Linked DNA regions of Rhinolophus ferrumequinum. The protein of the gene in region 4 purifies or fractionates together with the protein of the main gene of each other region. This does not show direct contact. Links are inferred from orthologs where the notes say so. Each region holds a gene or a part of one and is shown on either strand. Other genes may lie near its edges. The genes, in order: DVL3, LRP5, AMER1 and AXIN1.

Region 1 (7,027 bases), on a different chromosome or scaffold from region 4:
CTCGAGGCCACTCTAGCCGTGGGTACCTTGTTCTCCCATCCACCCTCTCCTCAGGGCTGAAAATGTTTATTCTTCCTCTATTTCCCAAATCATTTAAGAGGGTTGGGCCTACCCTGAGCTTGACAAATACTTCTGGAGACCAGATGGGACTTGGAGAACCTCGCAAACCAGGACCTCAGAGGATAAGCCTGGAGAGACAGCAGCCTTCCTTCTCAGACCCCCTTTCCCGTCTGTCAGCAGGGGCCACTGGCCTCCGCCTGACCCTCCTCTCAGGGGGCTAGGATAAGTGGCAGCCCTATCACCTCTACCGTGTGCCGAGGCTCAGCATCTGCCCCAGAGAGGATGCGTTTGTAAAATGGTGATAATAATAATACCTACAATTGTGTGATTAAAGCCTTAGACGTTGGAGCCAGATTCCTGATGTGGAATCAAGCTCTGCCACTAACTAGCCAGACTGTGTGACCTTAGGTAAGTTATTTCAGTTTTCTGTGCTCTAGTTTTCTCATCTATAAACTGGGGATATTACTACCTATTTCATAGGGCTATTTAAGAGGATTAAATGAGTAAAAATTTGGAAAGCATTTAGATCAGTGCTTGGTACACTGTAAGCACCATAAAAAGAGTTTGTTAAATACATATATATATATATTCCTCTATTATTAGTCTTCTGTGATAAGATAACCCTATTAGATCTCTTGCTCATTAATCCTTCTGGGGAGAAAAACAAAATCAATCTCCTCCACTTCATTTTTAGCATTGTTCTCAACCCTGTTAAAATGGCCTACTCTGATATTTTGCAAAGGATGGTTTCAGTACGTGATGTATGCAAGATGTGTTCAGGTGTTACCTGAATGAACATGTAATTCAATAGTAAATATTTATTTTTAACATATATTAGAAAGAAGTATAATTAGAAAATCAGACCTGTGATTTCATATTATTGATTTGGTCAAGCTAAGAAAGAGTGAGTGGGCTGACAGTAGATTTAAAGAACAATATTAAGTCAACGGTGAGCGGATGTAACGGGGGCCCTCCTATGACTGTAGTTAGGCCTGGCCTGACAGCAACCTGGCGGAGTGGGATCTGCCCGGTGCACTGGACTTCGCTAATTTGCCCCTATCTCATATCCTGAGGAAGTATCTTGGTCTCTTCTAACTCTATTCTTCTCTTACCAGGCCAAGGCATCTGCCCCCTCACTCCTACCCTTTGCGTATGGATCCCTCTTCGGAATCTTCTAATCAGCGGTGTCTGTCTCTGGACTGAAGCCAAACAATCATTAAACACCAGAAGTACCCCAGGGTAGGAATGACAACAGAAACAAGAATAGTTAGAAGCTGCACAGTACTTCCTACTGTAAAACCAATTTCACACATATGGGCTCATGGGCTCATCAAACCCTGAGTTGGGGGGTGGGAGGGAACAGTGACAGCAAAACATGCCAGGCAGAGGGGAGAGAAGGTGCTTGCTTCCTAATACCAGGAGGGCTGAGGTCCTGGGAGAGAAACCAGACTGATGAACACTGGGAAGAAGAACGTCTCCCCTCACTCAGCTCTGGGGCCTCAGCTGCAAAGAGCAGTGCAGGCCTCAGGCTATTGCTGGAGAGGCTGCCTTTAGGCCTGGAGGGCTGGGGCAGGCCTTCCCCACAGGCCTCCAGGCCCAGCGCCCAGTTAGTATGGGGGCCTCCTCCTCCCCCAGTACCCTGGGAGTTGGAGGGGGGTGTGAGGGGATAAGCCAGGCTCCCCCTCCCAGGCCAGCTGCTACAGAACCTTCCGGCTCCAACATTCCATCCCCTCTTAAAGGGGAAGTTGCTGCTTCCAAACTCCGCCTGTCCAAAGCCCTGCAGCTGAGTGAGGAGAAGACCCCGCCAGGGAGCGAAGATGAAGAACGCCAAGAGACTCTTCCGGCCCTCCCACCCAGGCTCTGAGGCCCTTTCCAAGGCCACCATCTGGAGGAAAAAGGCCCCAATTCTGAGGGGAAATCAACATCTGGGCTAGTGGGGACTCCTCATCAGGGGCTCCCTTGACAACATCCCACACAACCCCACGAGGGAAGGGGGGCAGCTAAATAAACATCAGGTCTGCAGGCCTTAGCTTACAGCCTAGCGCCTGAGCACCCCCGCTCCCCCTCCCCCCAGTTCAAAGTCCCACAGCACAGCCCTGAGATGCACGGTACTCCAAATATGGCTCGGAGCTGTGGAGCTGAAAAGATGGAGAAAGCGAAGGCCGAGTGCCAAACTCCTCAAGTCTGTGCTAAAAACGTGGCTCCCTGGGCAGGAGAAGGATGGGGGACTCGAGCTCTAGAACTGGGTGGAGGGGTGGGGGTGTGTCTGTCTATGTGGACCGCTGGTCTCTGAGAGGTGAGGGGACTTCCTGGGCTGGAACTCTAATTTATCTTGGGGAGTTGAACGTCCTCCTAAACTAGGGAGGCCAAGGTACCTCACAAGAGAGAAAGGAGAGTCCCTAGAGAGGCTGGAACTCCAGCATCTGAAAAAATCAAGAGGAGCCCAAATGGCCAAGTCACCTCCTAGAATCCTGAGTAGGGCTCGAAGCCAGTGTCGCAAGGGAAGTCCAAACTGGCCGAGTGGCCCCTAGAAGCCGAAGGGGACGGGCTCCCCGGGAGGCGAGGCGGGGGGCCATCCTCACCCGAAATCGTCGTCCATAGACTTGAAGAAGAACTTATAGCTGGGTCTCTGCAGAACGCCCTTAAAGTCCGCCAAGGTGACGCGCTCGGCGGGCAGGGGCAGCTTCACCAGGTACGGCGTCTCCTGCCCGTCCAGGTGGTAGATGATCTTGGTCTCGCCCATGGCTCCGGCCTCTGGCCCGGCGGCCCGCGCACGGCCTGCTCGGGCGGCCGGGCCGGGCCTCTCGGGCGGCGGCGGCGGCTCTCGGCGCGGCCCAGTGGCTCAGCCCAGCTCCGCGGCCGGCCACGGCGCCAGCTCCCTTGTTCTCCGGCCGCTCCCGGGTCCCAGCGCCGCCTGCCCCTGCCGCCGCCGCCGCTTCCGCTCCCCACTCTCCCGGCTCCGCTGGCGACGGCGACTCTTCCGGTGGCCGCGGCCCTCCCGGCTCTGGGCTGTCGCCCGGCCCGCTCCCCTCCCCGGGCCCCGGCGCGACCCCGCCCCGGCGCGGCCCCGCCCCCGGCCCCCGCCGAGCCGCGCTGGCCTCGCGGCAGATGGCCTGGCTCTCGGCCGGGCCCCCAGGACACCCCGCCCACCCGCCGGGCGGCGAGCTCTGACTCCTGCGCTCCGGTCCCTGGCCGGCGAGAGCGTGGCAGCGGTCGCCCAGGGCCCCAGAGATGGAAGGATTGATCTCACCAGGATGATTGCGTTCCTGGACTCTTCAAAGCCCAGGCTTTGGACCCAAGGGGATCGGTTGCTCCTCGCAGCTGGGAAGGGGTGTAATGCAGGGGTCTCTTTGGTCCCCAGAGGTAGGTGGATGGGGCTTCTGACCAAGTACCACTGGGGAAAGTGATCTTGACATGGACCTTTAGGGTCTGTTAATAAGCATAAGTAGCCATCATTGAGTCTACCAAATTGAGCTCCTTGAGGACACTATAGGATCGAGTGCTGATTCCTTCTTATAACCTCAGTACCTAGATGCAACGCAGTGGTGGTTTAATAAATGGATTGAACGCAGAACGAGTGCAAGAATGAAGATGGGTGCATTACTGGGACAGTAAGTCTCAAACCAGAAGTAGGTATAATCATTTCTAACAGATCCCCTTACCCCTTAGCTTTAAATTTGTTTAATAAATATTGAGTGCCTACTATGTACAAGGCATACTGCATGAGCTACAGCAAATAGAAGACAGGTAATGCTGCCCCGGACCTTTACTTATTTGGAAAGAGGCTTGTAAATAAATAACTTCAGAGTGACAAGTGCTATGAAAAAGATAAAATAGAGTGATGTGATAGTAACAGGGGAAAGAGAATTATGTGTGGTCAGAGAAGGCCTCTTCCATTTGAGCTAAGTCCTAGAACAAATGAGAAAGCAGCTATAAGGTCTGGCCTGGGGGAAGAGCATTCCAGGCTGAGGGCACAGACAAGTCTAAAGGCTCAAGGCAGAAATAAACTTGCCAGATTTGAGGAACCAGAGGAAGGCCGCTGTGACTCCAGGGATAGTGTTAGATCAGTCTGGGAAGGTAGACTGGGACCATCTCACATAGGTCCACACATCAACAAGTGTGGGCTCCTCCCACTCCATTTTGTACAGTTGCCAAATAAGCATTTCAACAGTAAGTACCTCTTCAGCTCAGAAACCTCTTCACATTCCCTAATGCTTTCCAAATATCCTGATCATGATATCCAAAGCCCTCCATAATCTAACCTCTACCTACCTTTGCGGCCTTTTATTTCATTATGTCCTATCTAAAATTTTGACTTCAGCAAATCAAACTATTTGCTAGCCCCTGCACACATGTATATTTTTATTTCATACCCTTTACTTTAAATTCTTACCAAAGCAGTATGTGTGCATAGTCAAATAGTATTAGGAAAGTTTTTAACAGCTGTCCTCTGTCCCATTTCCCTCCCCACCCCAGTATACTTTTTTAGTTTATACTATCTCTTGAATTATGCATTCTAGACATCGCTTATTGATTTCCAATCTTGACTGATGGATTTCTTTTTCTTCCACCTCCCCCTAACCTCTTAAAATAGTAAAATCCCACTTTTTTAAAGTCAATATAGTACTTAGTATTGACATTTTGACTATGAATAAATGCTTCCTTTACAACTTGTTTCTCGTCATTAACCATTGCCTTGCCTTTTCATTTGCTTTGCTTTTTATGTAATATAGTGTATCTATCTATTCTTTCCACATAATCTAATAGTTTCTCAATACATATTTTGTTAGCTCAGTCAAATACAGGCATATGTCAGAGATACTGCGGGTTTGATTCCAGACCACCATAAAGCAAATATCACAATAGTCACACAAATTTTTGGGTTTCCCAGTGCATAAAAAAGATATGTTTATACTATACTGTAGTCTGTTAAGTGTGCAATAGCATTATGTCTTAAAAAAACACTGTAGATACCTTAATCAAAACATACTTTATTGCTAAAAAGTGCTAACCATTATCTAATCCTGTTGAAAAAAATGGCACCAATAGACTTGCTTGATGCAGGGTTGCCACAAACCTTCAATTTGTAAAAAAAAAAAAAAACCAAACCCAGAATGATCTTGAAATGCAATAAAGTGAAGTTCAATAAAATGAGGTATGTCTGTATATTAGATAATCTATCCATTTTCTTCCCTGGAGCCTTCAATTCTGTTGCTCTAATCTGCACTGTTGACTATCTTTGCTTGTGCACAGCAGCCACTTCTCTGTATCATACTTAAAATTTCCTTTACTTCTGCATGTTGGTTCCTCATTTCCTAGATACTTTACTCCTTTGCTTTAGGAAAGCACATTCTCGGTAGCTTCCCTTGAAAGCATGGGAAATAAAATTTTTGAGAACTTGCAAATCTGAAAATGATTGAGTTAAAAGTAATTTATCTTCAGAATTTTGAAGGTTCAGAATTTATCTTCAGAATTTTGAAGGCACCACTGTCTTCTAGCTTCCAGTGTTGCTATGAAGTGATCAGTTTCGTCTCTTTATTATCCTAAGCCTTTGAACACGATTTGTTTTGAATTCCCTGGAAGTCTTTAGGAAGTTCTCTTTATCCTTGGGTTCTGAAACTCCATGGTGACATGCCTTGGTGCTTATTCACTGTGCTAGGCACTCTTTCCATCTAGAAATTCAACCATATCTTCTTGAATTACTTAATAACATGACTACCATTTCCCCCATTGCTTCTGCAACTGTTAGATGTTGGACCTTCAGGATTGATCCTTAATTTTATTTTCTCCTTTATCATCCATTCCTATTTTAAAATGATTTCACCTTTTTGCAAGATCTCCTTAATATTATTTCCAACCTTCCCCCTATCCAATTGGATAGGTAAAATATTCATAATTGAAAATTCAAGAAGTGTGTAAGGATGGAGAGTCTCCTTCCTGTTTGGTTCTCTGGTTCTCCAGTTCTCAGCAGAAGGAAACAATTCATTTATTTTTAATTTCTAAGAACTTTTTTTGTTCTCCAATTCTTCCTTTTTATAACACTTTCTTCATAGACACAGTATTTTTCCTCTTTGAATTTTGAAAATAGCTTCCCCCCAGGCCGCACCAAGTTTTCAAAAAAGCTCCGTCTTGTCAGTTTCCTTGGTGTCAATTTTTTGGTCTCTGCCTTCCACACTGGAAGTTTCCTCAAATATTTGATGGCCCTTGGCCGTCCATTCACATTTAAGAGATACCAGAAAGCTGACTGGGAGCTGTTCATGTACAAGGCTTATTATCTAACAGGTTTACTGTAGGGTGATCAAGTGGGGGAAAGATCGCTTTTTTCGAGGAAACAAAAAATGTATTTGTAGGCTTTTTCTGTAGTTGTTGTTTGCTTTTGCCTGGGGATATAAATCAATGTGTGCTGATATTTAGAGCCCTACCACTCATATACTTCCACTTAATCCTTCATTTTCAACCTAGCTCCTCACCCCCATCCCCACCATGTCTGTTGTTAAGTCTAGAAGCTCTAATAATTTACATTTCCCCTGAGGTTCTGGAATATCATGAGGTTCTGAATATCATTCATTATGCTGGGCACTCATGGGCTCTGTCAGTCTGGAAACTCATGATCTTTGGGTTTAGGAAACCTTTGTATTTCTTTGATAATTTCCTCCCCACCGTTTCTCCAAAGGCTAAATCTCCCATTTCTTGCGGAGGAGAAGTAGGGGTAGTCACCCTGCTGGATTATATAAGGTGGGGGTTGGGGGGGCTTTTTCTTATAGAGGTCTTTGTCTGAATCCCCTCCACTCGATGCCTGTTCTTAGACCGTCTTTACCCTCTTCTGCTGAGCCTTTTCTGGGTTCAGAAAGTCATGTTGGTTTGCTTGTTAATAGCCATCCCAGTAGGTAGAATCCATTTCCTTCTGCTCTGCTAAGTCAACTCTTCCATTTTTCATTTTCCAGAATGTTGATATCTCTCATTCATT
Region 2 (7,991 bases), on a different chromosome or scaffold from region 4:
GTATTATATTATTAGCCCCATTTTACAGAAGAGAAAACTGAGGCACACAAAGGGAGAGTCAGCTGCCCAAGCTCCCCTCCCAGAGTAGGCAGCAAGGCGCAGATTAGACCCCCAGCCACCTGGGCTCTGTCCACACAGTTCAGCACCGGTCTCTGTGTCACAGCAAGAAATGAGTCAGATAGTAAACGAGATAACCAAGGTCACACAGAGAAGTACAATCCAGACTGTGTAATAACAGCTTCTAGACCTTCCAGACCAGAAAGATCAAGGACCCCGTTACACAACAGAAACTGCAGCTCTGCCACCACCAGTCCCTCACCCGGGACTGGGATGGTGCCAAGGGTTTCTCACACAGCATTTAATGCTCCCAACTGCCTGGGCTTGGGGGGGAACCAGGTGAGGATACTGGATGCAGAGAAGCTAAGTAAGTCGTCCAAAGTCAACCAGCTGCTGAGCATGTATGTAAACCAGGTTGGTCTGACCCCAAGCCCCCCCCCCCCACTTCAGCCCTGACGAGCCCCTGCCATAGGCAGGCAGCCATGCTTCGTCCTCACCTGACTGCACCCCCACACACACCCCCGCCCAACCAGTGTGCAAATTCTGGCAAATGCCTGAGCGGTGACACAGTGCTGCTGAAATTAGACGGGTTCCAAATACGACGGGATCTCCACAGCAAATGCTGGATCGTTTGGGTTGACTGGGGAAATTCTTGGATCCGAACGGGAGGTTACAGGCATGTGGGCCCTGCTTTGAAAAGCACAGAGTCCTTTGGGGGGGGGCTCTCTCAGTGGACTCCACACGGCATTTAGTTTACTCAACAGCCACCCGCTGGGCCCTCCCAGTGGGCCAGTCCTGGACAGGCTGGGCCTGGAGCAAGTGCTGTGGGGACAGAGGGGAGCGGCCTGGGCCATTCCCAGTACCGGGACCAGGAACAAAGGCACTTCCGTGGGCTCACAGCTTCAAATTGCAACAGGAAGCAATCAGGAAAAATAATGAGCTACCAACTTACTGGCTGCACTCCGGACGGATGCATAAATCGAACACAGAAATCAGGGACATACCATATCAAGAACAGCCCCAGGACTTGTCCATCCATTTTAGGCCTGGGTCACCCCATCAGCTGGTGCACTAAAACCCTCGTGCTGACATGCTTCCTAATGTTAAAATAATCAGCTCTATTTCTGCCTCACACACAACTGAACGCCACACACGATTCATCTTCTTAGGGGCTCGAACCACACAACGACAGGCATTCGCCTCCAGGAACCATCACCCCGAAAGGTACAGGAAATCCCAAACTGCAAGGAAGTGCAGATCAACAGAGCCGGCTAAGAAACCCCACCTTTAAAACAAACATCTTCCCAAAAAAAACCCTTTTGCCTCCATGTTCCAGGCATTTCCGGAAAGAAAAGGAGCAGCGTTGGCCTGAACTACCCAGATACTGTCATTGTTTTGTCGTCACCTTGTTTTGCTAGTATCAGACATGGCCGAGAAACGTAAACACGTTCCTGAGAGAGACAAATTTGGGGGGAAACCACTGACAGTCTCTAGGCTTGGGCTAGGAGGCAGGGGGACTTGAGGAAACCATGGCCTCTCTGCAACACCCCCCCCCCCCAAACCTCAGTGGAGGGGCCACAGCCCTGGGAATGTGACCACAGAGCCAGGCCAGTACACCTCGCTGCAATGTCCACACTGGAAATATCCAGAGAGACAGCTGTTTGTCTTGTTTGTCTTGAAGAGGCTCAGACAAAGGCACCCGAGGCCCCCTGCCCCCCCCAAAAAACGGCCACCAGCAGAACAGCAGCCCCAAGAGCACAGGACTTGCTGGCCGTGTCTACTTGGCCAGCCACACTGCAGAAAAACAACACTCACGTCAGAAGATAATGATTTAGGTAGCGAGAGACTTGCTTCAAAAACCACATGGCAATCTCCAAATTAAAAGAACATGTGTAGCGTTTCGCAGGCGCTTAGGTTTCCTGAGCCCTCCCGACCTCAACTCCACCCCTTGGGACACACCAAAAGTTGGAGAGAAAGGTCCCCAGCCCTCCATCTCCCCAAGGCTGTGCCCAACTGAGGCACCAGCACGCTGCCCCACCACGCCACGCTCTGGGACCAGGTCACCCCCGCGGTGGCCCCACACAGTCGGCCCCTGGGGTGGACACGGGCCGGGCGTCACTGTTTGGGGCCCCAGCGGCCAGACGTATCGTCCAGGCACCTGGCAGGTGTCAGTCCGTTTGGAAACCTACTGCGACGCAGATGAAAGGCCAGCGCAACAGGCCAGGCCGCCCCGCGCCCTGTCTCAGAACTTTTTCTGCAACTTAAATCAGTTCTCGGAGCTCGCAGGCCGGCTGCGCGGCCATCGGAAACAGGCTCGCCAAAGAGTTCCCAACGCAGGGCGGCCAGGCCTGTCTCCGGGCCGAAAGTCCCCGCTCGGTGCCTGCCCAGGGTCCCAGCACGGCCTCGCCCGCTGGCTTCACGCGGGCGCACTTCCGAGCGCGCCCCGGGGCCCGGGCAGGTGAGGACCCGCCCGCGCCGCGCCGCACCTGGCGGGGTCGGCGCCGCCTGCGCACCCTCCTCGCCGCCCCGGGACGCTCCGGACGGGCCCGGCGTCCGCGGGAGGGGCCCTGGCGGGCGAGACAAAGGGACCGCGCGCGGCCCCCGGGCAGCGGGGACGGCGGGGAGCAGCGGGGATCCGCGGCGCGCGCCCCAACTCGCCCCCAACTTGTAAAGTGGCTACCGCGCGCCGCGCACTTGGCCGCGGGCCGCCAGGGCGTCCGGGCCATTGTCCCTGCGGCCCGCGCCCACCTACCCGCGGCGGGGGCCAGGCTGCAGCAGAGTGCGAGCAGCAGCAGCGGCGGCGCCGGCCGGGGCGGCGCCGCCTCCATGTTATCCGGGGCCGGCCGGGCCCGCGCCGCGCTCACTCGGGCTCCATGGCGCGGCGCGGCGGCTCCTCGCGCGGCTCCGGCGCCTGCCGCCTCCCCCTCGGGCGCCGCGGACCAGGACGACGGGGGAGGAGGGAGGAGGCGCGGGAGCGGAAGCCGCGCCGCGTCTCCGCCCCCCGCCGCTGCCGCCCGCCCGCGCCCCCCGCGCCGGCCGCGCCCTCCCGCGGGCGCCCCCCGGAGCCGGCCGGCGGCGAGGCGGTCATTGCGCGCTCTCCCCACGGCCCTCCCTGCGCCCCCCGCCTCCCGCGGGGAAGGCCGCCCGGGCTCCTCCCGGCGCAGGGTCGGGCTCGGGGCTTTCACCCCGCAGGGCCCGGGGCCCGGAAGCAGGTGTGTCACCTGTAGGGCCGCAAGTACCTGGTTTTTACCGAGGGGGAAACTGAGGCACAGGGTTGTTGGGTTTTTTTTCGGGGAGGGGACATTGCCCCCGGACACACAGTGAAGCAGATTGGGGGCTGAAAGCCAGGGGCCCCGAGCCAGGTCTGTGCACTTCCCCGCGACCGCAGCCCCCACGGCAGGACCGGGTCGGGCGGCCAGGCGACACCTGTTCGCACTGGTGAGGTCACCCAGGAGGGCAGAGGACGACGGCGAATCGGCGCAGGGCGCGAACAGACTTGTAAGCGGATGAGAGAGTGAGGCAGTAGCTACACGGGCTGGGATTGGGGTGGGCCTAAGGTTTTATTTTTAAACTAAACGGACGCCCTCTACATTCATTGTGGTACAGACTCTGAGCGAAGACACGCTGGTCTTCTCAACATCCTTCTAAGCGGACTGAGCGAGAAAGCCCCTCTAGGATGGCAGACCTCATCTCTGACTCCGCCAAGCAGGCCCTGAGCTCCTCATCTTCCCAGCTCTGGGCCACCTGAGCGTCCAGCTTTGCCTGGACCCTCAGGGCACAGGAGGGACTTAGAGGGAGCACAGCCCCGGCTCTGGAAACCACGGGCCCCAACTCTGGCTCTGCAGCTTCCTAGAATCAGGTGTGCCCTTGGGCAGGTCTAAATATAACCTTCCCGGCACACTTTCCTCCCTTATAAAATAGGGAAGCAGTGCCTACCTTGCAGGTGCGAGAGAACTAGCGGTAAATCACCAAAAACTGATACTCACAGATGCGAATATTCTTCACGTACTTGTGACAACCTTACAAACCTAGTGGTCGGGCAGAACCTCTCTGTCCTGAGTGGGGCTGATATTCTAGGGAGGCAAGCAAAAACAAGAAGACAGATAAATTTAAAATTAAAAAAAAAAACCAAAATACCATTAACAGACTGAGGAATGCCATGAAAAATGAAGATTATTGTACTGCAATGTCTGGGGGAAGTCTGAGGTAGGGAGGTAGAGACGCCTGACAAAGCAGTAGGAGGAGCTAGCTGGAGCCAGTGCAGATCAGACCTGGACCCCAAGAGCAGTGGGGAGCCATCGTGGGTGTTGAGTAGCAAAACCCTTGCTGATTGCTCTCTCACACCCTGTGCCCAACCCTAGAAGCACATCCTGTTGGCTCTACTTTCAAAACAGATGCAGACTCCCGGCTCTTCTCATACCTGTGCTATCACTACCCTTGTTGGGGTCCCCTCTCACCTCCATGGGTCTTCTGCTTCTGCCTTGACCCCCTTCAGCCTAATCTCACAGCCAGAATGAGCCTGTTTAAACAAGTCAGATCACATCCCTTCTTTGCTCAAGAATCTTCTCTGGCTCCCATGTCAGCCAAAGGCTTTATGGCAACTACTGGGCCTGATCTGGCCACACCCTTCCCATTATCTCTCCAACCTCCTCTGCACCCTCCTTCCTCTCCCTCACCCTGCTCCAGACACAATGGCCTCCTCACTGGTCCTCAGACACACCGAGCACACTCTTGCCTCAGGGCCTTTGCACTTGCTGATCTCTCTGCTGGAACTGTTTTACCCCAGTTAGCCACATAGTTTATTTCCCCACATCTTCGGTTGCTCAGCCAGGCCTTCCCTGACCCGCCTTTGAAAATTGTAAACCACACCCCCTGGAACACGCACCCATGCTGCCTCTTCCTGCTGCATTTCTTCGCTTTACTTTTCTCCTTTGCACTGAGCGACATCTGACAGACTAAGTGTTTAAACTTACCTTTCTTCCGTCCAAGAATGGAAGCTCGATGAGAACAGAGACTGTCCTTTGTTTTGTTCCCTGTGTATCCCCTGAACCTAGACCAGGGCCTGGCACATAGTAGGTGCTTACAAAACGTTTGTTGAATGAATGAAGTGAAAACATCTGATTTACATTTATAAAAGGAGCACTCTGGCTGCCAAGTGGGAACAAGATTGTCAGGAGGGAAGAGGGAATGAGGGGACTGGGTACCATAGTAGCCGCCAGGAGAGATGGCAGCTTGGACTGGCAAGGGGTGGGGAGCTCAGGAATGGTGAGAAGGACCTGGATTTGGGATGCTTTAGGAAAAGCAAATGGGGCTCACTAAGGCCACTGGCTGTGGAGAAGAGGGGAAGGGGGCCCGAGGTGGCTCGCCATAGGAACTACGCTAGGTCTAAAGTTCAAGTCAAGTTTCTAAATCTGAGAAGGGATACTGAGGAGCTGAAGACCTTACGCTCAGTTATGCAGATGATTGAAAGTAAAATGATCCAAGAATACAAACAAACAAACATTGGGATTCTTTGTTCTGGAGGAGGAAGGTGGCAAGCTTGATTGTCAGAATGGGAGACTTCAATAAATAGAGAAGAGGGCATTTAAGTCAGGGGATGGCGGAGGCTGGCAGCAGCTCCTGGGGTGCCCTGGGGTTTCCTGTGCCAACTCTTGGGGTGTCAATTGTAGAGACCCCCCCACAGGAAAGGTACTGTGCCCCAGGTCTTCAGGCATCACAGCAATGACTCCATCCAAACTTTGAGAAAAGTCATTTGTAAAGAACAAATGAGAATGAGGTACTATTCTGCAGAATTCCTACATCACAAGGGCAGTAATCTTTACATTCTTCACTAATGTAAGAAGCAGCTGGAGAACGTGTTAGGCTTCCCAGAAGGCTGCCTGTCACAGCTCATCACGCCACGAAAGTTTCCTTAGGTCTCGCGTTTGGAAATGTTCACTCTCAATTTATTCCTCAGATGCAGGTTTCATCCCAGGGAAGTAACAGGGGCTCAGCACCTGTCAGATCTAATAGTTTCTGGGGACAAGGGCTCAATTGGGGTCCATTCAGGGCCCATCGAAAGATGCCACCTCAGCCCCGTGACATTTGGGGAAAGTGCCTTTTTGGTTTCCCTCCCATGCGGGAACATGCTGACTCTGGAGAGTTATTCTGGGCACGAGAGCCCTCCCTCCCGGCAGGCCTGGCGGCTGTGGACAGAGGTGTGCCTTAGGCTCCCAGCATTCCCGGCTCTCTGAACCACGAGCATCTTCCTGAGGGCAGCTCGGTGGAGGAGGGCAGAGGGAATGTCCACTGACCAGCCCATCCCTCAGATCCCAGAGGGCCTCCCCCTGCAACAGCACCACCTCCGAGCAACCTGCTCCAGGAGCAGGCAAGGGGAGGCAGCCACCAGCGCATGGTGGTGGGCAGTGCAAGGCTTAATTGGCAGTGGAGCCACGGCTCCTGTGGAGACAGCTGGGGTGTGAGGGACACGGGCTAAACTTCCCCTCTGAGCCTCAGTTTCCTCATTCATAAAATGGGAATATCTGCTCAACTGTTTATCTCTTAGTGCTGATGTGAACTTCATCCAAGAGAAGATTCATAAAAATGTTCTTTATACTTTGAAGCCCTGCATTCACGTGACTTGTGATTAGTGTGGGCCCACGATAGGGCACAAGAGCAAGTGTGGGTTAGGCAACCCCGCACACTTGCTCTTCTCTCTCCGATAGTTGGCATCCAGCCCTTAGTTTCTGTAGCCCTGAGCTTCCCTCCTCCTGATCTGTGGCTCGTCATGTGACTCGATCCTGGGGGAGCATTAATGCCACGTGACTGTCTGGTGCACCCAGCAGGGTTATTTTCAATACAGATTAAGAAGTTGATATTCAGGTTTGATATCCCTTTTTTAGCTCTTTAAAGACACCTATAGTGGGCTGAATAGTAGCCCCCAAACAGATATGTCCGCACCCTAATCCTGGGAACCTGTGACTGTTAATGTGTTTGGACAGAGGGTCTGTGCAGGTATAATTTAGGTAAGGATCCTAAAACGAGGTCATCCTGGATTATCAGGGTGGGCCCTAAATCCAATGACAATGGGCCTTAATACAGAAAGGCAGAGAGAGGGCTGGCCAGTGTCTAATGCCGAGGTTGCCGGTTCGATTCCCACATGGGCCAGTGAGCTGCGCCCTCCACCACTAGATTGAAGACAACCAGCTGCCGCTGAGCTTCTGGAGGGGTCAGATGGCTCAGTTGGTTAGAGTGCAAGCTCTCGACAAGGTTGCGGGTTCAATTCCGTGTGGGATGGCATGGGATGGTGGGCTGTGCTCCCTGCAACTAAGACTGAAAATGGCAAGTGGACTTGGAGCTGAGATGCGCCCTCCATGACGAGATTGAAGGACAACGACTTGGAGCTGATGGGCCCTGGAGACACACACTGTTCCTCAACAATATTCCCCAACAAAAAAATTAAAATAAAATAAAAAATCACTCTTCAGTACAATGCCTTTTCCTACATAAAAAGAGACAAAAGAGATGTCCTGACTGATCTTTTTTTAAAAAATGCTTCAAAAATAACTCTGATGATATTAAGAATTGTATTTTTTAGATATGAAGAAACTATTCTAATTATGTAGCGGAGTGCTCTTAGGAGAGCTAAACTATTTAATGGTGAACCGTCATATTGTCTGCAATGCACTTTCAACATATTTTTGGCAAATATGGCAAAACCTTAACAAATTTTGAATCTAGGTGATCAAATTATGGATGGTCACTAAAAAATAAAGTTATAAACTGGCCACAGACTGTGAGATAAGGAGTGTTTTAACCTCCTGGCGGGACAAATACGCCTTCCTAACACCAGGAAGGTGGTGCCACGTGGGACTTTTTGGACTCCTCCGAGTTCCTGTTGGAGGACGGTGACAGAGGAGACCCAGCACAGGACCTTGGGACCTCCACTTTAGGTG
Region 3 (7,205 bases), on a different chromosome or scaffold from region 4:
CTGAGGAAGGAGAGGTCATCATACGTTGCAACAGACAGGCAGGAAAGGCACTGAGAAGGTGGGCCCAGAGCTGGGGCCAGAGAGGAAAGAGAATTTGGACAGTGTAGTATGAGTGGGTTTGGATGTAGGGAGGAAAGTTATATAGGACAGATATGTTAGGTGGTTGTTTGTCAGTTTAAGGCAGGGCAGAGGGCAGGTCCAGCCCTGGGCTGGAGACGCCAGGCTGCAAGTAGGTGGTTTATGTTGGTATTGGTCGTGATGAAAGGAGGTGAGTGTAGTATGGTATCTGCAGTACTTGCTGGTGTCACAAAGGTCCCCAGCTAGTCTTTCTTCCAAGTGAGGGATTTACTGGGTCTCATTGTCTCCTCTCAATGGGTTCTCCACCCTCAGAGGTTGATCAAAGGTCGAAAAGGGCCTGCCAAGCTCCCTCTCTCCTGTTCCTCAGAAAGGCCTAGAGTCCACTGCCAGAGGCACACCGCTTTGCAGTGACTGAGTGGTGGGCGAGGCCGAATGAGGGGAGACGCACTGGGGGTGAGGGCTCTGCTGGAATCCCCATCGATGGGGCGGGTATTCCAACAGGGCAGTGCCCTCCACCCTGCCCATACCCACGCGGATGCAGCAGGGGGGCAGAGCCGCAGAGGGAGGTGTTTGTGTGCAGGACAAGGCTCGCCTTGACCCCGCGGCCCACGCCAAGAAGAGCCTGGCCAAAAGGAGACCGGCTCTGCAGGGCCACTCCAGCTGCTGCCTGGGCGCCTGGTCTGTGGCGTGCCTGGTGGGCACAGCCTCTCTAGGCTGGGGAGCCTAGGCAAAGGCGGGCGGTCACTAGTGTCAGAGGTGTCTGCAGCAGACAATGACAGCGGCTCGGCGGGCTGGATATTTTAAGTAACAGAGAAGTTAGAGGGTTTGGCTGCTTCTCTAGCTCTCTCACACACACTCAGACAGTGCTTTCCCTACTACAATAATTGTTCGCTCGGCTTCTTGCACAGAAACCCCTCCCAACACCGTGCTTATCGCTATTTTTAAACGGGAGGCTGGCGAGAAAAATGCGGCCAGTGCCCTCTGAGACGGAGAGGAGGGGAGGAGAGGGGGGAGACAAAGCGGCCTTGCAGCTCTAACCCAAAGATTAGCTTGAGCCGCAGCTCTAATCCAAGGTCCAGGGAAAGTCCCCTTGCCAGTCCGCCTGTCCGCGGGGGCAGGCGCCAGATGTGCCTGGAGGCCCAGGAGCAGGGGGCGCGGCTGGTTGGGGACACATGGCCGAGGTTCTGAAGGGAAGTGGGCAGCCCACAGGCCCCACTGAGCTCCCTCAAGGAGGAGGCAGACACTATAGATACCCCAATCCACGCCAAAGTCAGTGTCCGTCGAACCTAGGCCAGCGCGCAGGCTTCCTCTGCAGAGGAGAGAGACAGGAGATCTGCAGGGGAGGGGAGGGGCGGCCGCCGGGACGCTAGGGTGAGCAACACCCGCTTAACACAGCTGTTCCAGCTAATGTGCTACAACAAAGCTGCAGAGATCCCTGCCTACAAATGTACCGCTGGGGGTGCTGCCTGGCTGCTCCCCTCCTGGGACCGCGCGGCAGCACGTGTGGGCCCCATCCCCGCCTCCCCAAGAACCCGGAGGCATGGCCCAGGCTAGCCCGCCCGCCTGCCCGCCTGCCCGCCCTCTTCTCCCACCCCATAGCCTCGGTGGCCCGCGCCCAAGGGACTCTGCTCTGGCCCTCACCGGACAGTCCTCAAAGCGGGTTCCAAAGGGGAGCGGAGAGCGGCCCGGACGCCGACTGGCCCAGCCCTAGAGGCCCTCTGCAGGCGGCCAGAGCGGAGCACGCGGGACTGCACCGGACGGCGGGCAGGCGGAGCCTCCTGGCTGCCCCCAACGCTTACCCGACCGGGTCCGGTCTCCAGCCCGGTTATTGTCTGTCCCGCAGCCCTGGCGGATGCTGGAGCTTTGGCTGCCGCGGCTGAGAGCGCCGCCACCGCTGCTCCTGCCACCGCCGCCGCGGCTCCAGTCACCTACTGCACTGGCTCCCCTTCCCCAGGCTCTGGGCAGCTCCCCCATACCCCCTCCCCACGAACTCCACAGCCACAGGGTGGGGTGTCCGCGGTCCGATTGGCAGGCGTGTGGCCCAATCGCCAAAGTGGGAAGGCGTGCCCCGCCCCGCCCACTGCTTTCCTCTGTGCGTTCCCTTTAAATGCAAATAAGCCCGAGCGTGGTGTTGGCAGGGGGTGGGGAGGGTGCAGAACCCCTCGCAGGGACTCCCCACTCCAGCCCCCAAGCCGGTGGGTCACTGCAGGGAGACACCGTGAGCTCGCGGGGCCGGTCCCGCCCAGATAGGGCTCGCTGGAGTCCTGGAGCTCGGTTTCGGTTTTGCATGCGCTCGCATTTCCGTGGTCGCGGTGTAATCGCGCTGCAGTGCCGTGGCCTCCACCAGGCAGTTTATTCCAGAGTGAGAGACAGGCGGGGAGAGGCGGGGCGGAGATGTTGGGGAGCCTAGGAGACTGCAGAGCCCCTTGGAACCGAGCCCAGCCCAACCTTAGGGGTAGAGAAGGCCTCGCAGCGCGTGCCACCAGGCCGCTCAGAGAAGGGACTCACCTGCCAGGAAAACCGATTGCAGCGCCAGCGCCTCAGTTTCGTCCGCCTCTTCGGCACAACAGGGCCCTTAGGGACGATCTCGGCCAACTTCCACCCATTACCAAAGGGCCTACTGCTGCCCAGAGAAAGGGAGGCGCATCCCCAAGGTCATCCAGCCCGCCACCAGCGACGTAGGCAGATTTGGAATTCAAACCCGGGGCTCCCTGTCCAGGGCTGCTTTCACTTTTCTTCTCTTGAGAGACCTGTTTCTATAGTTTGACCCTCACCCAAATTCCCCACCTTTCACAGAACTCGAGGGGATTCTCAAGGTCTGCAGAGACACCCCCCACACACACACACACCTTTTAATGGTGAGCCAGGCTTTTTGCAGTTCCCTGTCCCTGAAAAGTCTAGCTATTGAGAGAAAAAGCTTGTATGAGCCCCGACTGGAGGTAAAGGCTGCGGGTGGACAGAGGAGGCCTGTAACAACCCTGCCAGCTGCTGTGTCTGGGTTGTGGCAGGGGAGCCAGCCTGAACTTGGGTCTCTAACTAGCCCGAGGGCATTAAGTGGCATTAGTGGCTGCCAGGGTCAGGTGAGCTGAGGCAACAAAGAATCCAGTTCTACCACTAGCTCAAGAACATCCAGAAGGCCCAGCCCTAAAACTCTGTGAATGTTTAAAAACGGGGGAGGGAGGGACAAGGGTGGGGGGGGGGCGGAAGCACGGGTGGGGGTGGGATTAAAGAACAATGTCTGCCAATTTTGCACTGTAGAAGGAGTGTTCTCTGCTGCTGTACTGGGTACTGTCTGCCTTGAAAAGATCCAGCTGCTAAACTGGTAAGAGAAGGACTGCTGTCTCTGCATGTGTGGAGCACAGGAACTGACATGGCTGCTAGGGCTGGGATCTGGCTTCGGTTCTGCCTCAGACATGAAGTATGACCTTGGCCAATCCCTTTTCCTCTCTGGGCCAGACTATCACCCCATCTCCACAAGGAGGGGGTAAGACTAGTCAAGCTCCTTGATTTCTTCCAGCTCTGACGGTTCAACTCAATTCTTTCTATAATATTTTGAGATGTTCTATTATCTTCCATGACATTCTATATATCTCCAACAAAACCCAGCAATTTGAACATGAGACCTCCTATCCTAGTCCCAGGTCTAAATAAATGGCAGGAAGGAGGGAGCTGCCACTGGCTGGCTCATTGTGCAACTTTGTTGAGCAAATACCTTCTCTTCTCTAGCCTCAGTTTCCCCACCTGGATGGCTGGACTATTCTATTTCCCTGGAGCTGTGCTTTCCTGTTTTACAAAGTCCTGATTCTCAACTGTTGGACCTGATTTGAAGGTGTCTTTTTTTTAATGCCTCCTTCATAGGCTTCCCCACTGCCTCATGCCTCTGGTTGCCTGCCACCTGTTCACATTTCACCCAGAACCTCGACTCTTTGAAGTAGGCCAAAGATTACAATTTGGAGAACACAGTTTCCAAATCTGGAGCGCAGGGAAACACAGGTCCAGGGCAGCCTCAGCTGTGGGAAGGGGAGAGAGGAATTGTGCAAAGTAGTCAAGTGGTAGGCTTGAAATAAACCTCAGGTGAGGGGGCACTGTTGTGCTGCTCCTGGCACAGGATCTAGTCTTCCATGTCCTCTGCCCAGCTGCCAAACATTCTGCCATACCAGTCAGCTTTGGGACTGACAGATATTGGACATTGGTTTGGGCCCAAAAGCATTAGGGTTTCAGGAAAATGAAAGTAGTCTTTCACATGCTAAAGAGGTCTCCCAGCTGGGTGGCTTTCTTCTTGGTCCTGATATTTACAAGTCTCAGGAGGAGATTGTATATGTGCACATTAAAGGGGAAGGGCATGGGAGGGGTGGCACAGCTTCTTGTTTATATGGCCCACTCCTCCCCAGAAACAATGTAGGGAAAGACCAATTGTGGGCACAAACTTGTACCTCAAAACTGCCTTCTTGAAGAGAGAACCCTCCAGGCCCCCATTCCATGTGATGACTGACACATGGTTAACTTGTTCAGTTACTATATGGGCGGGTGGTGGGGGCAAGAATATTTTCTTAAATTTCTTCACCTAAAAAGATAATCTCTCTGCTGCCCAGTATCTTGTGGCTGTAGTGAAAAGCCCATGAGAACAGATGTGCAGGCTGTGTGGAAGTAACTCCACAAACTCACGTAGACAGACTGGTCCACATGAGTACAATGCTCATTTCTTTCTTCACCAAATGTTCCATGGGCATGGCCTCCAAATAGGCATTGGGAAGAGGGGGGTACAGTGGTAATGTTATGGGAGAAGAGGTCTCTGATGATGGAATTGTGAGAGGAGCTGGTAAAGGTGATCTGGAGCATTGTGGATGAAGAGATTCCTTCTCCCCAGGGTTGGGAGGGGCATCAGAGAAAAGTTCCCTGGAGGATGGCCTTGCTGATTACTCAAGTCAGAGAAGTAGGGGAAGGATTCCTGCTCAATCCAAACCCAATCAGTGTGAGAGGGTGTGGCAGGTTGGGCAAGAGCTAGGATTCTGGACCCCTATGGCTGAGTATTTGTATAGGTGGAGAGGAAGAAATGGAAATTAGGCTAGAAAGATAGGACTAGGACCAAAGTATGACAGACCATAACTGTTCGGTTAAAGTGAGGCTCAGCTAGCTAAGTTTGTCCTTCCCAAGCAAGCAAGGGGTATACTGTAGTGGCTCTGCTACCAGACTGCCTAGGCTGGGATGCTGGCCCCACCACTTAGGAGTCGTGTGACCTGGGCAGGTTATTTTACCTCTCTGAGTAACAGTTTTCTCTTCTGAGAAATAGGAATAATAATAGTATCCATGTCTCAGCGTTGTGGTGAGAATTAAATGAGTATTCTATGTGAGTGCTTAGCACAGAGCCTAATACACACAACGTTCTCAATAAATGTTAGCTGCTGCTGCTGTTATTGTTGTTGGTCTTCATATGATCCAATGAACAGATGTTCAAAGTTATGATACGACTTTGAAATCACTTTTTGATATAAACACACATGAGCTTGTGATTCCATATACATAGATTTTTTTTTTTTTTTGATTGTGTAGAGCCAGACTGAGTTTCCCAGGAAAGCAGGTCTCTTTGTTCATCTTTGTATCCTTAGCACTCAACAGAGAGTTTAGCACAAACTTAGTGCTAAGTATATGTTTGTTGAACATAGTCAAACGAGGCATCTTCAGGTCTAATATCAAGCTTAGTTGCCAGCATCCAAGGTGTGATGTTGCCACTTTCTATCTCTAGTACCAACTCTGTGCCAGGCCCTGTGTTTGGTGTCGCACACATAATGGTGAAATAGAGAGCTTTTGGCCTCAGAGCAGCCAGTGTGGTAAAGGAGGCATACAACCTATGAGACAAATGCCCTGCAGTTTCCAACCGGGGCAAGGCACTGGAGAGTGTGGCAATCCACTGAACTAAGGAATATAGGAACAGGATTAGGAAAATGTAATGATTCTGTTTAGAACATTCTGAGTTTGACTTTGAAATCCCACCTCTGGGCCTTTGCACTGTTGTTCTTTTTGCCTACAATGTTTGTCCTCTGATACTGAGATAGTTTCTGCCTCATTTCCTTCAGATGTCTACTCAAATGTCACCTTATTTTAGTGAGACATTCCCTGGACACTTGAAATATAAAATAGCAATTTCTGTTCCTATCCCCTTTACTCTACAATTCCTTAATTGGCCTTTTTTCTTACCGATAACATTTTTCACCTCCTGGCTTATTATTTTTATTGTTATTTATTTATTTATTTTATTGCCATCTTAATCGTCTATTTCCCATCATGATAATGAAAACTTCATGAGAGCTGACAGACAATGAATAAAATACATAAGTAAAATATATACTATGTCAAATGGCAATAAATGGCATAGAGAAAAATAGAACAGGGAAGGGGTACAGGGAGTACTGTGTTTCCAGGAAAATAAGACCTAGCCATACCATCAGCTCTAATGTGTCTTTTGGAGCAAAAATTAATATAAGACCAGTATTATATTATATTATATTATATTATATTATATTATATTATATTATATTATATTACATTACACCCGGTCCTATATTATATTAAAATAAGTCCGGGTCTTATGTTAATTTTTGCTCCAAAAGATGCATTAGAGCTGATTGTCCAGCCAGGTCTTATTTTCAGGGAAACACGGTATTGGTGAGAGTGTGCTATTTTAAGCAGGGCAATTGGGGTAGCCATTACCAAAAGGTGACATTGAAGCAAAGATCCACGGGAACTAAGGGAGTAAATCATGAGACTATCTGGAGAAAGAGCATTCCAAGCAGAAGGAACAGCAAGTACAAAGGTGAGAACATGCTGCAATGTTAGAGGAACAACCTAGCAGCCAGTGCAGCTGGAGCAGAATGAGTGTGGGGGAAAGTGGTAGGAGAGGGAGTCAGAGAAGACATGGGAGGCAGATGGTGTATGGCTTTGTGAGTCATTTTAAAGACTTTAGACTTTGTTGGATTTTGAGCTGAGGAATAGCATGGGGAGCTAGCTGTAGCAGCAAGGGAGGAAGCAGTGAGACCTAGAAGGAGACTTCTATAGTGATCCAGGTGAGAGATTATGGTGGCACAGATCAGGGTGGAGACAGTGGAGGTGGTAAGAAGCAGTTGAATTCT
Region 4 (7,593 bases):
CAAGGGGGTGACTGCAACACAGCCTGCCACGAGGGAAGTGGTGTGCCCAGAAGTGGGCCGGAGACAAGCATGTCAGGTCCAAAGTGCCTGGAGCACTGAACAAGCCGGAGGAAGCAAAATAAAGTACTAACACAAAGGGGGGCTCTCCCTGGCCACCACGCCACACTCTGGGGCCTGGCCTATGAGGAATCCCCCGCCACATCTGCATTCTCACTCGGCGTCCAACTTCACCTGCCAGCAGCTCCTGATGGCTAGAAGTGAGAAGCTTCCAGAGATGGAGGCTGGGTCACAATTACGTGCACCCAGTGACATTTCTGCGGCTAATGACTTCTTATGAAAACTACTGGGTAGGCTGTAATCTCAGCCTCAGCAGGAACAGCCTGTTTCTTAAGGTCAAGGATGGTGGGCTGTGGCGCCCTGCTGCTCATGGACCACTCCGACTGCAAAGTCACTTTCTTGGAGCACCATCAACATGGAATGAGTACCTGTGATGTCTCAGCCCCACCCCAGCTTGTGAATGTCTCATGTCCTCTTGTCCCGGATACCAGAGGGCCTGTACCCGGCCCCCGGAGCCGGATCCTTAGAGATACTCTGCAGTTAATCAGCCTTGAGAAAGAACCAAGTCACTGTGTTAGAACGACAGGCTCATTATGAATCACTGTCACTTTCTCTTAAGGTGCTTTATGACGTCTTTGTCAATTATTTGTGGCAGCCTGATTTAAACATTTTCTGCAGGACCCACAGCACCTGGCACAAGGTCTGGCGACTAACGGGCACTAATAAATATTTAATTCCTTGACATAAAGGAAAATGACACTTGCTACAGATGCTGAACTACTGTGCCATACAAAGAGCAGTCAATTCAAGATCTAGCCCTTTATGACCAAACTGCGGCTGTCTTAAGACTTACATTTTAATTCACGTGTGAACCAGTCCCTCTAATCATTTTAAATGATTTTTCATTGCTCAGAAAAAACATTCCTTATAAATCATATCTGTTTTTGGCTGTCCACTGACAGAAGACCTTTGGTGTCTCTGGAAGCACATGAACAAACTTCCCAGATCACTGACGTTATTGAAATGTGCTCCGATTCCCGCAAGCTCCGGGTTTCCACAGAGAAGTACATCAAACATTTAGTGTACACACACACACAAATCACACATAAAGCAGTTACATTAATTCAGGTCAGAGTCAAATGCCCACAAGCACTGAATCTGGCCAATAGCGTGTAACCACCATCAATAAAAGGGTTCCATAAAAGGAATCCATACAACTGATACCACATTTAAAGTCTCCTTTAGTCACTGCCAAGACATAACCCCTGGGTACCACGGCAGCCAGCTCAATGCTATAGATGTGTATATATTTATTTGACTCAAATATAACTTTTGATTTATGTGGAGTGTGGAAGCGTCAGCAATTAAACTCTTGAAGGGCTAAGGGCTACAGTTTTGCATATAAACCATTCCCCCGTGACTTAAATTCTTAATGACCCATGTAAATCCCCAAAATCCACTTAGCTTTTCTGAAACTAGGAATCCAAGAAACACCAACACCTGCTGAAAAGCAAACAGGAAACACTACTGTATTTTATATGCTTTCTCATCTTTGTTCCCGAACAGAAGTTCTTAAAAGCGAAACCCTGACGCTGCTGACTATCTTGAGAGGTCAGGTTTAGACTGTGTGTTCTCCAAAACAGGGCCTGTGGGTCCCAGTCTGCCTGAGATTCGCCCTAAAGAAGCAGAGAACATACGTGTGAGCAAAAAAGAGGGGCCGAGCTGCACAGTAAGAACTTTTTATGAATTATCTGAGAGGTGAGCTGAGAAAAATCCCCAGAGAATTATTTTTCTCTCCACTGTCCTCTATGCTAAAAGTTTCACTGTCCTGGTCATACAGCTCTGGTTTCGTGGGGGGCTGAATTCCAAAAGGTGGTGTGAACGTAGAATTGAAGACCCATACCCAAGAGATAGTTTGGGGGACAAAGCATCACCCTGGAAGATGACAGCCATTCAGAGAAGCCAGACAGCCGGGGCCCAGTCTCAGGCACCTTCCTTGGGTTTCAGGCTCCTTCAGTCCTACTTTTTGCTGGGAATAGCAGAACAGGACGCGCCACTACCCAGCCTCTCTCTAGAACCCCTGCACACAATGTCTGGCCCCAGCAGCTCCTTTGCACCCCACCCACACCCTGAAACATGCCCAAGGCTCACAAACCACCGCACGCACGCAGCACCATGCCATCCAACACACCAACCAGCTGCACACCCCAGACCCCTCGAGGAGGACCCCCCCAACCGCTTCTCAGAATCCTAGGTCTTCACCTAGAGCAAGAGTCTGCCCTTTCTGAACCAAACCCGGCACTCTTCATCCCAATGTCACTGGCCCTCGCCTTCCACATCCCCTGCTAGCACCCCCGTCTGACACACCTGCTCTCACAGCCTCGGTCCCCACGCATCTTCCTCGCCTATCACCGCGGTCTGCACAGCCTCCATGCACTCCTGCACGCCTCCCCTCACACACTCGGGGCCCGCACGGCCTCCCCTCACCCGCCCTCGGTCCGCACAGCCTCCCTTCACACGCTCCCAGCCCGCACCCGCCGAGCCCCTCTTCCGGGTCCCGCGCCCAGCCCGCCCGGTCCGGCCTACGCGGCCTACAATGGGCGGACGGACTGGCCCGCGCCCCTCAGGAATGCGCGCTCTGCCCGCACTACTCACCCGCGCGCGGCGGCAGCGGTGGCAGGGCCCCGGGCCCGACTCCCGGAGCGGCGCGGCGCGGCACGGCCCATGCGCTCAGCGGCGGGGCGACGGGCAGGACGGGGCGGGGGCGCGGCCCGGGGCGGCCCCCATCGCGGCGGCGGCGCGGCGGCCCGGAGGCGGGCGCAGGCAGGCCGCGAGGGCGCCGCCGAGGCCGGCCGCCCGCTCTCACCGGCCTGCTCCGCGGGGACGCGGCTCCGGCCCAACTCCGGCCGGTCCTGCGGCGGCGGCCGCGATCGCTTCCCCGAGCGGGGAGCCGGAGCCCAGAGCGCCGAAGCCCAGGCCGGAGCGCCCCCGCCGGCGCCGCCCGGAAGTGCGGGGGCGGGGCCGGGGCTTGGGGCGGGGCCAGGACGTGGGGCGGAGCCCCGAGCGAGGGAAGGGCCGACAGCGTGGGGCGGGACCGGGACTTGGGGTTGGCCGAGAACGTGGGGGAGAGGCCGAAATCGTGAGGGCGGGGCCGAGGGTGGGAGCCGGGCCGAGAGCGGGAGCCGGGCCGAGAGCGCAAGACGGAGCCGGAGCGCACCGATAAGGCGAAGAGCATCGGGTAGGACCTCGAACGTGGGTTTGAGGCCTGGGACGTGGAGGCGGGGCTAGAGCACATGGTCGAGGTCGAGAGCGTGGGGGAGGGGCCGAGGGCGCGGGGCGGGGCCGAGAGTGTGGGACCCGGGCCGAGAATGCAAGAGGGACCCGAAGCGCCTGGAAGGGCTAAGAGCATGGGGGTGGAGCCTCCAACGTGGGAGCGGAGCCTAGGACGTGGAGGCGGGGCCTGGGCGTAGGGGTGGGCCCTGAGTTTTGAGGCGGGGCCAAAAGCGTCCAGGCCGACCTGGAACGTGAGGCGGAGCCGGAATGGGAGTGGGCGGGGTTATATATGCTAATATGACGGGGCCGTGAGCGGGGAGTGGAGCAAGGACGCTGTCTTGAGGGGACTCGGGAGGGGGCGTTGGGAAACTGCGCATGTCCCTCTGGACTGTGGAGTCCAGGGTAGTGGCGTCGGGGAGACGCCCCCGCGAGGGTCCCTGAAGAACTGTAGTCACCAAGGAGGCTTGGACCAGTGCGCCAAGTGGACGACCGTCCCCCAATGTGGTGGACACCGCTGGGTGCATGCCCTGTTGCCGCCCTTTTCTGCTGCCCACGCTGGTGTCCACCAGCTTAGGGCTTCCGAGGTCGGCACCCACAGGCCCGGCCCGCGCCCGGGTGGGCAAGGTGCCCAGAGGGACTGCAGATCTAGGGGCTGGCTGGCCCTGGACAGGAAGACCCGCAGCAGGATGGCCACCAACTTCCCAGGACACTGAAAGAAGCAGACGTCCAGGAGTTGGGCACTTTGGAAGGCAGAGGTAGGCTGACCAGGAACTGAGCCCCTGGTGATATTTAGCCTGTCTCCCCCTTCTCCCTGCCCACTGCTCCCCAGCTGGCCAGGACCCTGAAAAGGTGGTCTGGGGCTACACCCTCCCTGAGTGCCCAGGCAGTCTGGACTCAGACAGGGCCAGGGCACACAGTAGGCAGGAGGCATCCAACAAATATGGCAGGAGCCCCAACCTCTAAAGAGCTGTGGGCTGCGACTGGCTGAGGCCCTACCCAGGCTGGGCCCACCTGCCTCCATTTCTCCCAGGCACCATCCAGGGTCTGGACAAGGGCTCCCTTTCCCACCAATGACTGTGAGTCCCACATGCCCACACCGTCCTGAGAGCAAGAGCTTTTAGGTGACCCGATCCCTGCACCTACCACCTTTTATCCCCCTCACTGTCACGAGGCAGCCCTTGCCTGACCTGCAAGCATAGCTGGCCAACTCTGTTGCAAGCCCACCACCAACCCCTCCCCAAGGGAAGGATTGTCAATACCAGGAATTGATTAATGTCCCTAAAGAATTGCTTCTGCCACCAGTCACAACCACCCAGGACTCTATCCTCTGCACAGCATTGCTGGGCCTGGCACCTGGAGAAATGCTTCTGGCAGCCCCTAAGGGACAGCCATGCCCCCATTCTACAGACAAGGAAGCTACCACTGAGGCCCATAGAAACCTGCTCCACCGCCTCCTATCCCAGGGCTCCCCAACACCTCATCCATCCACACCTTCCCCAGCAGCCTGCTCTCTGGTATCCACAGTCTTTCAGGGCCCTTCTCTGCTGGTGTCTCCACCATGCCACCCTCCTCTGGGTGTGTCTGGTCAGTTGCCCACTTCATGTGTCCACCATGCTGCCCCTGGAAGCCCCCCAGGTCACCTCTAATGTCACATCTCCCGTACACTGCTCACCCTTGCTGCCCACCCTCATCCTACATGGCTCCCAGGCAGGGCTAGAAGTCCCAGCTTGGGCTTTCTTTGACCCACCAGCCAACGTCCCACCCAGGAGCCCACCAGTGGTACCAGCCTCTCCCAGGGCTCAGCATAGCACCCAGTGCCCAGGATTTTGTAGGAAAGGGGAACAGTGAGAGATAAGGGCCACTAGAAGCATCTCAGCCTGCCAAGGGCCCAGGCCACCTCCTAGGGTCACCATACCTAGGGTCAGGCTAGGCAGGGGTTGGGGCTGTAGGTGAAGACAGCACACCACAGAAATTGCACTTCTGAACCCACACTGGCCCCACTAGGGTCCTGGAGGCAGGTGTCACACTCATCTCAGTCCAGCCAGGATGGCGGATGGCCCCAGGCCCCAGAGTGCTGGGCACAGGAGATGCCCCTGCAGCCCTTCCCCTCCCCTGTTTAGCTTCAGAGGCTTAGAGGAGACAGAGTGGGTGGCCTTCATGGCACAGCAGAGTCTCTGTGGGGTTTGGGAGTCCTGGGTGGCCTGGACATTGGCCTTCAGGCTGCCACCCCTCTCCCAGAAAGGGGCCCCCAACGCTTGCCTTGGTTCTGCAGAGCTGTTGCTGCGGCCAGGCCAGGCTCCTGGGGTTGTGTCCATGTCTATCCTCCTCCTGGCCCATGGTGGCAGGTGTCCCCAGGCCCTGGTACCAGAACAGGGTCCTCGGGCCTCCGGCTCCTCGGGGCCCCCGCCCTGCAGGAACAGGAAGGGAGTCAGAAAGCCTGGAGGAAATTCAACAGCCCTCTATGGTGGGTTATGGCTGTGGGCACGGACAGGAGATTGTCTGAGCTGGGTGGGCATGGGGGCAGATCAGGGGAGGAAGCTCTGGGAAAACTCTGAACGAGGGAGGTAGGGAGGGCAGCCCTGGGACCTGCAATGGAGCAGTGATGACCTGGCAGGGGGACTGCATCAGCCACCCAGAGCTGAGAGGAGACACAACTGCAGGAGCCTCACTTCTGAACAGCTGAACTCCATGGCGGAGCACCCCCTTTGCCTTCCAGAGGTCCGCTAAAATGAACCCCCCTTCCCTGGGAGCAGAAGTTTGCCACTAGAGGCTTTGATTTGATTAACTGAAGATGACATTTTTTCAGGCTTTCCAGGAACTACACGAAACACTTAGGAGTAGAAATGACATTATTTTCTGCGATTTAGACAGACAGGGAATACTGTGAAATAAAGTGAGCTTTGAAGCCTTACAGGTGTTCGTGCACTTGGCTGAGGAAGACAGCTTCTAAAAAGGGTTCCAAAGTCATCACCCAGATGCACCAAGAAGGTATGTTGAGGCATTTGGGGCATGGACCGATGCAGGAGGGTGAAAACTGGCAGCAGAGGACTAGCTGCAGAGATGGGACACTGTGAAGGTCCCCATCCTCCTCCTGGGACGAAAGGACAGGAGGAAGCGTATTGATTCAGGCTTCCAGAGGAAGACGGGAGACTCAGAATGAGCCCCCTCCAGGCACTCCATTTCCTGCCCGCTTTGCCCAGTCCCCAGGTGAGGGGGTGGGGATGAGCAGGCAGGTAGAGAGCCTTGGCTCTTCCAGTTCTGAGGGGAGAGGAATGGACTTCCCTTTGGAGGAGAAGCCCCAGCCACACTGGCCAGCCACCTTCCTGACCACCAGCCCAGCCCCGGGCTCCATCTCTCCTCCCTGGGTGTGTGCTTTTCCATCAGTTTTGAGCTCAGCAGGGAGGACCAGGTGTTGTCTGGGCCCAACAGAGGACATGGAGCCATTGCACCAAGGTGTCAAGATGTAACACCAAGGAGAGAAGCTAAGAGCCCACACACAGAGGGTACCCATTTTTATGACTATAGAACGTGTGCAAAGAAAGGCAAGAGGACTCAAGAACTATCCCAGGGCATTGATACCAGGTTATGGCTGGAGAGCAGAATTAGGAATGGAGTCCATTCTCTTCCATATACACTCAGGAAGAAGTTCTGTGTGAAATCACTATTACGATCACATGGAAACCACAAAGTTCTGCAGCAGGCACCACCTTGCAATCAGTGGTCAGAGCAAGACCAGCAGGGGTGAGGACCCTGTAGGAAGGGACAGAGATGACCCATTGGGCAGTAGTGGGCAGGGTGGCAGATCATCCTGTGACTGCTGCAGTTGCCCCAAGTCAGGTCCCAGGACCAGCGAGAAGGTGCTGCCTTGAGCTTCCTGGGCTGACTCCGGGCTGGGGTCCCCGAGCCTCTTTTCTCCTGTGTTTAGCTCCTCGCTCCCTTCACACCGGTGGGCAGGTGTGTTGTCCACGCTGGCACTTTGCATCCCTCTTGCTGTGTGGAGTTTTCTCACCAGCCCTTCCGCTGAAAATGCCCGAGGCAGACTCCCCAGGAGTGATGCTGGCCCCCACACCAAGATAGGGAGTTAGGGGTACAGGAACAGGGGCTTTGCCTCAAACAAGCTGGTTCCAGTGTCAGCTGTGTCCACTGCTGCTTGCATGATATGTCCCCTTCTAACCCTGCTGCTATTGTTGCCCTGTCCTAATGGTCCCTGCTCATCCTATGTCCCCTGCACCAGGAGACCTGACACAGCCCCCTACACCCCTG

The links.
Region 1: the proteins of AXIN1 (region 4) and DVL3 purify together in Homo sapiens (affinity purification with western blotting; 3 studies listed by BioGRID and IntAct, with this or other methods). This does not show direct contact. The link is inferred for Rhinolophus ferrumequinum from reciprocal best matches to the Homo sapiens genes AXIN1 and DVL3.
Region 2: the proteins of AXIN1 (region 4) and LRP5 purify together in Homo sapiens (affinity purification with western blotting; 3 studies listed by BioGRID). This does not show direct contact. The link is inferred for Rhinolophus ferrumequinum from reciprocal best matches to the Homo sapiens genes AXIN1 and LRP5.
Region 3: the proteins of AXIN1 (region 4) and AMER1 purify together in Homo sapiens (affinity purification with mass spectrometry; 4 studies listed by BioGRID and IntAct, with this or other methods). This does not show direct contact. The link is inferred for Rhinolophus ferrumequinum from reciprocal best matches to the Homo sapiens genes AXIN1 and AMER1.

Annotation. Positions count from the first base shown.
Region 1 is NC_046285.1:60,962,893-60,969,919, forward strand, and holds the start of DVL3 (segment polarity protein dishevelled homolog DVL-3), read right to left. Parts: upstream 3,013-7,027; 5' UTR 2,804-3,012; coding exon 2,643-2,803; intron 1-2,642. UniProt on the Homo sapiens protein: Involved in the signal transduction pathway mediated by multiple Wnt genes.
Region 2 is NC_046294.1:4,389,084-4,397,074, forward strand, and holds the start of LRP5 (low-density lipoprotein receptor-related protein 5), read right to left. Parts: upstream 3,001-7,991; 5' UTR 2,886-3,000; coding exon 2,810-2,885; intron 1-2,809. UniProt on the Homo sapiens protein: Acts as a coreceptor with members of the frizzled family of seven-transmembrane spanning receptors to transduce signal by Wnt proteins.
Region 3 is NC_046284.1:78,553,873-78,561,077, forward strand, and holds the start of AMER1 (APC membrane recruitment protein 1), read right to left. Parts: upstream 3,011-7,205; 5' UTR 2,587-3,010; intron 2,053-2,586; exon of another isoform or gene 1,720-2,052; intron 1-1,719. UniProt on the Homo sapiens protein: Regulator of the canonical Wnt signaling pathway.
Region 4 is NW_022680357.1:2,361,031-2,368,623, forward strand, and holds the start of AXIN1 (axin-1), read right to left. Parts: upstream 3,017-7,593; 5' UTR 2,713-3,016; intron 1-2,712. UniProt on the Homo sapiens protein: Component of the beta-catenin destruction complex required for regulating CTNNB1 levels through phosphorylation and ubiquitination, and modulating Wnt-signaling.